Neurospora crassa OR74A: one gene and its partner. The protein of the gene in region 2 interacts with the protein of the main gene of each other region in a biochemical or structural test. Links are inferred from orthologs where the notes say so. Each region holds a gene or a part of one and is shown on either strand. Other genes may lie near its edges. The genes, in order: atg-8 and apg-1.

Region 1 (3,248 bases), on a different chromosome or scaffold from region 2:
TTCTTGCGTTTAAGGCTTCTACCGAATAAAGGTGTAGAATAGTCTACTCCGTGTCTCTTATCTCCATGATGTCACTGATTTTCTTTTTCCCTTCTTTTCTCTACTTCTATCACTTGGACACCCACAATTCCCTTTCAATTGTGCGTTCGATCCTGCCACTCACACTCACACCCCTACAACTGATATTCACTATGGATGAACTTGTAGCAATCAGCATCGTTAACCATTCATTGTTTGTCTTTCAACTTTCTCACTCATCCCGCACGTATAGCCCTTTGTTGTTTCAGTTATTGCTGCAGCCACAGCCCATTGTTTTGACCCCACATGATCATGATCAGACGAAGTTTTGTGATGACTGGTTATAGTAGAAGACAATATAACTATCAAATTTGATGTAATGTTTGAACAGCGATGTGAAGTTAATTTTGTAGAGGACAGAGGAAGTTGATGAAAACGTGTCAGTCATGCGCCGAGGCAGGTTACTTTGAGTGTCTTGGGAGTTGCCCCTGGAGGTTAGGCTGCAGACCTATGCAATGCCAAGTAGTCGGCACATCTTTCTTGTATTGGCGAAGCATGAAGTTGGTCTAAGACTGCCAGAATCGGATATACGAGTTTGGCGAGTTTGTACCGACGGCGACACTGTCGTAGGAGTCCTCCGTGATTTCATCAAATCGGTTCAGAAGAACTGGGAAGACCAACAGTTAGCTCAACACACAATGGATTTAACCAAGCGTCATTATACACAGAGACCATCAACCATGACAACCAGTGTAACGATACCCAGCTAGGATACGTGTAATACCTATCGTATATTCTATAAGCTACGTGCTTCCTCGTGATATCCACGTATGGAACTACCGTCCTCGTGATGTGCCTCCATTGCGGCCATGTATCCAAGGTTCATGTTCGGAGGGGTTCAACAAGGGATGTAAGTCACCGGCGTGGTGAAAAAGGGCATAGAGAATGAGGGTAACATTGATTTGTGAACCGGGCAATCCAACGGCAAATGATGCTGTCTCTAGACCAAAGCACACCGGGAAGCAAAGTAAAGGGGACTTCACTTTCATACGGCTGCAGGTGGCACCTAAGTCCAGACCCCAACAGCACAGTCCCATCGTCCCTTCTGTCGTAGCAAGCCCTCCCCCTCTTCAGCCAACGTGACCCTAAGGATATAAACCCAGCAGAAACAACATGATGCACAGCCCACCAACCCGCTCATTGATCCAGTAATCGTGTATGAATCCCAAAACGCCCACAACGTCTAAAGCAAAACGATAGAGAGGATATGATTACGCAGTCTCGAAGTCGCCGAAGGTGTTCTCGCCCGAGTATGTGATGTAGAGGAAACTGTGGTAGTAGTCACGTTAGTCTGGGTTACAGTTGGAAAAAAAAATGATGGGGGATGGAGGCTGCCACGTACCCATCCTCATCCTTGTGCTCCTCGTAGATGCTGCTCATGAGAGCAGCGGTTGGAGGAAGGACCTCATCTACGAAGATGAAGATGGCCTTCTCGGGCGACAGCTTGATGCGCTTGCGGATGACGTAAACGAACTGGCCCACGGTGAGGTCCGCCGGTACGAGGTACTTCTTCTTATCGATGGTAGCGATATCACTCTTCTCGACCTTTTCGCAGATAACCTGTGGCGACATGTGTTAGTTAGGGATAAGGGCGGTGACTGCGGGATCGTCCGGATGGGGGATGCTTACGGGAATACGGTCGGAGTACTTTTGGCGAATACGCTCGGCCTCAGCCTTGCGCTTCTCGAAGGGGTGCTCGTCCTTGAACTTGGATCTCATTTTGGCGGTTTGGGTTGATAATGTGGAAGATGCGGTGATAGGTGTTTGGCTTTGAGATTGACTACAAGCGTGGATACGATGGATGGATAAGACGATGTCTGCGATAGACGGAATCCGGTGTTAGTCGGAAGAAGCGGCTATTGAAAGGGAGATGGACCATGGATGGCTTCCACAAGGAGCAGAATCAGTGTTGGCCGGCTGGAAATGCAGAACATACCTTGATGACTGGCGTGTGATGAAATGAGGAAGCTGGGGAGAGATGTCAGAGGTAAGAAACGGCAAGAGGATGAAGAGGGGGAAGAAGGGTTGATGTACCTCTTTGACCATCGATGTAAGGTATGTTAGTAGGTAGGTTGCCAGGCAGTGTTGCCTATCGGCCGCGTCCAGTTGGCGCCTGCCCGCCTGTCTGCGCAGCACGGGTCAAAGGCCCTGGACGGGCACGCCAGGACAACCTGAACACTAAGCGGGTGACCAGCAGGCGGAGGCGGGGCTGACCAGATGACTAAAGCGAGAGTCGATCCTCGATTGGGCTTAGCTCGCTCCCAGTCGGTGAATCAGATGGGTCACTGGCCGTCGCTCACATGGTCAAGCTTAACAGGTCACTGCCTTTTCAGTGGCATTCCAGGGGCATTTCAAGGCGAAGGCGTGCCCGGCACTCAGCTAGGAGCGGTACCTGAACGGTACCTCTTGGCCATCAGTGGGGCGGCGTGGAGGTATGTACCTAGCAATGACGCAGCACTAGGTCCGTATCCGCCTCCTATCTCTCGTTCCATGTACACTACTGTAGTACACATTACCAAGTCCTAGGTTGATGATACCTTCCACTTGTATCAGCGGCACATGGACAAGACAAAAGGATGGCCCGAAGAAGGGCGCATTGTAAACCTCCTTTCCGTTCCAAGGGCAGCCTCGTGGCCGTGATCCTTTGGCTTCCCGGTTCGTTGAACGTGTGTAGACCGCATTTTACTAAGAAGGGCGTGGACGGTTCCATCGCCTTGGCCAGCGTCTCGAACTTGCACGGGCAGCTTGTTGACCGCTTTGTTCGCCTGCCGTCTACCTAGGTACCTCTACACTATTAAAGACCTACGGAGGACCAGGTCATGGATGTCACCACTGCGAAGTCGTCATTCTCTCCGCTTGTTCGCATTTGGTATATCTTATCCATGATAAGTAGTCTCCTATCGGCAATGAAGCTTTATCCTGGAGCTCCTCCCGGGCCTCCCTACAACTGAAGTCCGATCGGAGCTGACCATTTGCCCCGCCATCAATGGGACCTGGGCCCGTGTGTTTATTATCAGGTACCGTTTTCGGTGTCCGCCTAGGTGGCTTTTCCGGTCGCTCCCGGAGTGCGTGCAGCACCAAAAGTGGACATCTCGCTCCTCAGGGTCCGGTTCCCCGTCCATCCACTGGAGCCGTTGAAATGCAAGGAACACCCCGCGAATGTTCCGTTT
Region 2 (3,927 bases):
TTGTGAACTTGATCACATCGCCCGATGATTCGATTTTCCTCAAAAGTTCCACATGATTGCTGGCTTTGAAAGGCGGCCTTCCGGTTACCATTTCGTACAATACCGTGCCCACAGACCACAAATCGGCCTTCGCATCGTACTTCTCATATCGCAAAATTTCTGGGGCCATGTAAAGAGGAGAGCCGCACAGTGTCTCGGCGAGGGATGTCGACGGCAGCACACGGGCGAAACCAAAATCGGCAAGCTTCAGCATCGGGGCCGAGGCTAGGCCGGCAGCAGGCGTAAAGGAGTCATAGCTGCCACTCATGATGTGTTTTGCCGTCTTGTTGTTCGCCATCATATGAGGAGAGGGAAGCAGAAGAAGATTCTGGGGCTTGACGTCTCGATGAACGAAATCCCCAGCGCGCAAAAACTGTAATGCGCTCGCCAACTGTTTCAGAAAGTGGCGAGTCACTACCTCATTCAAGCCGGCGTTCGGATAGACGGGGTACTTTCGCGCAAGGTCGTGCGTATAGGGGTTTGTTATGAGCTTGTCTCGCTTCTTGATGAACAGCGACAAGTCACCGAGTTCGCAATACTCCATGATCAGATTGATATGGGTAGAGGATTCAACGCAGTCATGGAGCGCGACAATATGAGGGTGTCGGAGGGTCTTGAGAATTTGGATCTCCCCGTACAGGTTTTCCTTCAGCTTCTTATTTAGGCGGGCGAGCTCAACGGATTTGACAGCAACCAATGCGCCAGTGACCTGTAGGCACGATATGTCAACAAGCAGCCCAGATCACGGTACGGATGTGAGGTCAAGGCCGAATGGGATGCTGAAAGATCGATCAGGGTGAGGCTGCAGAGTACACTAACCTTATGTCGACCTAGATAAACCTTTGCAAAGCTTCCTTTTCCTATCTCTTGGTCAATGACAAAGGATCCAATGGCATCGTAGTTCTGCTTCGTCCTCCTCGAAGACGAGGAAGCAGACGTTCGGTCCGACATGGCTTCCTGGTGTATGTGTTGATGACGGGAAGTCAGTGTAAAGGTAGGTAGCCCAAGGGACTAAACTATTCGGAAGACGTCAACCTCAAGTCTGGCAGGCATGTATACGCCAAATAGTATGGTGCTATCGATCCGGGGTTGAGGTGGTGAGGATGATGAAGAGGAGCTCTAGGCAGAAGCAGAGAAGTTTGTATGAATAAGGCCGATTGCGTTCGGTTATGCAATGATGCAGGTGGAGATGATAGGTCGAGGATGTGTCGAAGCCAAAGATGAAACGGCAAATGCGTGGTCGAGGGAAGAGGTTCGAGTACGAAGTACCTTGATGGTTCTTCGAATCTGTCATGCGCCAGGCTTGGATGGGGATGGCAGATGGACAGCCAGGCGACGATGAGACTGGGTGGAGCCAAGAGAGAGTATACGGTGGTATGGGATGGAAGAGGAGGTGCGAAGGGGGGTCGAGCTCAGTACAATCGTTTCAAAGTCTGGAGGAGTCGGAGAGGACGGGATGCCTAGGTGAGCCCGAACGGGTGGCTGATGGAACCGTCGATGCGAAAAAGAGCGGAAGAACGGCAGAACGAACAGGCAGTCGAGCAGCTGAGGTTGATGGAGGAAACGACGGACGGATGAAGGCTCAGGACACAGTAGAATAGGGTCCAAGCTCCGACACCGACACTGTTGTACCTGGACGTCTGCTATCAGTACGGAAGCGTGGTTGTTGACAGCTGCTCTTCCTCCACCGCGGCAGACTGACGTCCTACGTCAAGTCAATGACTCAGACCCGATCGGCCGCAGGCTGGCCTCGTCCGTATCAATCGGTTCGACAACAGCGAGGGTTGCGGCTGGGTTATATCTAGTTGTGCGATTGATCTGTATAGGATGGCGGATTTGTACTAGGTAGCGTCTATGAGAAACGGGTCGAGAGAGCAATAGGATGACGCGATGGTCGGCGGACCGGCATACGGCAGTTCATGCGGAAGCGGCGAAAGTTGGTATGGTGTCGGGTGTATGGATGTGGTATATGGCGATAGATGTCAAAGACGCGATGGATCCCGCCGATGGCGATCGGAACCTGAGGGTGCGAGACCGGAGACAGCGGAGAGGGAGACCGAAGCTGTGACCTTGACTCGGAGGATGGAGAGATGAACGGGCGATATGGGATGGGGGGAGAGAGACGCAAAGGTAGTTCGGTAGAGCCGGCCGAGGGAGGCAATTCTGAAGGGCCCAAGGGCGGTGCTGGTAGGAGATGTTGCGGATGATGAGTGGATGGGGACCTGACGCAACGGGGGGGAATGGGTGTGGTCCTGTCGTGGGAGTGTCTGGGTGGTCGGTTGGCCGTGGTCGACGGTCGCGGTGATGGGTGATGCGGATCGAGGGACGCCGCAGGAAGGAGTGGGTGGACTGCTGGATGGACAGCGATAAGTGATAGCGCACCAGTACCTCTAAGTGAGGTACCGTATCGGGTACCCAGGCGGTACCGACGTAACAGACACAAGACTGGGGGCGGGCGAGCTGTACAATCGTCAACCTAGGTAGGTACCCAGGGTATTTGTGCCCGGAGCGGAGCACGGGAAAGAGCCGTTGCCCGCAGTTCTTTGGTTTATTAGGTTGGTAGACTATAAACTTTGATATGCGTGATTCCCAAAGGGGGGAAGACAAAGACGTTATCTTCAGTCTCTTCTTGAGAGGAAGTTGAGATTAATGGCAGTGAGTGAATGACGAGAGGAGACGGCAAAAGAGGGACGGGAACCTCGATGGGCAGGGCAGCATCAGCCAGATCCAGGTGGCAGCAGAGGGGGGCAGCGTCCCAAGCGACTTGCGAGTGACTACACCTGGAGCTCGTGATGATGTGCAAGGGGACTGGTCCGTGCAGGTGCATTGGAGTCATGATGCCTCGACATGGTCTGCACCAGTCAATGTAGCTCGTGGGTACCCTGCGGTAGCATTCGAGGCCGTCTGCCCAGCTCTTCCGCCTTTCCAGAAGGGGTCAGGTGGGCCCGGGGTACGCAGACGGTACGAGGGCCCTGTTACGCTGCGAGTGGAGTTGCACGTTGCCGGCCCGCCATTGGCCCCAACTCCCGACGCTACCTAAAACGGCCTGTCCTTCTGTGGTGATAAGGCACTTGCAGCTTGATAACATCACCGCTTGGAGTGACACTGGACCTCGCTGCGAACCTGGAAGCCTTGAGGCGGGTTTGCTTCTCCACGGATAGGCAGCCTGGAAATCTTGAAAATGATTGGAACCTGTTGTCCGAACACGTTGGAAGGAAGCAGTCGTAATTAGGTTATAAAGCTGGGTGGGTTCTTCGTTGTCGGTTATGGGATCTCTTAACGGTCAGTCTCCATGTCGAAACGCGTCATGTTGTTGTTCCTGTCATTTACCGCTTGTCTTGCGTCTTTGCGGGCACCGAACCGAGCACGAGGCAAAATCACGTAGCGTACTGGCACAAAGTCGCAATTGATGGACATGTTCAGTCCCGAGCATCAACCCGTCGCTAATATCGACCTGTCTCCATTTCAAACTGAATACGTACAAGGTAATAGCCCGGCTGCCCGGTAGTAGTGTTCCCAAAGAGTCATCAGCAAGGACCCTCGATTCAAGACTTCGGTTGCTTCTAGACGAGACGGGGCTTGGAATTACTCATTTACTCATTGTTCCAAACAATGACAATATCACCAAAGTCTAATCATCTTTGACGACACAGGCACTCCAAAAGCAATCAACCACACATCCATCCATGGCCACTGTGCGCGTTGTATACACTACTAAGAGTAATAATGACTAGCCAACCGGAACCCAGAATCTCAGGCAGCAGTCCCGCCTGGTTGATCCACAGGCTGCATCAGAATGCGGGCGTGAGCGACTTGCATGAAGCGATCCCAGCCATTGACCTTCTCCCCTCGCAGCCATGGAACATCACCTCTCGAGGTCAAGACAGA

The links.
Region 1: the proteins of apg-1 (region 2) and atg-8 form a complex in vitro, tested with the Saccharomyces cerevisiae proteins (3 studies listed by BioGRID, with this or other methods). The link is inferred for Neurospora crassa OR74A from reciprocal best matches to the Saccharomyces cerevisiae genes ATG1 and ATG8.

What each region holds. Positions count from the first base shown.
Region 1 is NC_026502.1:3,123,560-3,126,807, reverse strand, and holds atg-8 (autophagy protein 8), read right to left. Parts: upstream 2,134-3,248; 5' UTR 2,015-2,133; intron 1,896-2,014; 5' UTR 1,798-1,895; coding exon 1,708-1,797; intron 1,639-1,707; coding exon 1,421-1,638; intron 1,348-1,420; coding exon 1,290-1,347; 3' UTR 754-1,289; downstream 1-753.
Region 2 is NC_026503.1:2,936,655-2,940,581, forward strand, and holds the start of apg-1 (ATG1 protein), read right to left. Parts: upstream 2,542-3,927; 5' UTR 991-2,541; coding exon 859-990; intron 749-858; coding exon 1-748. UniProt on the Saccharomyces cerevisiae protein: Serine/threonine protein kinase involved in the cytoplasm to vacuole transport (Cvt) and found to be essential in autophagy, where it is required for the formation of autophagosomes.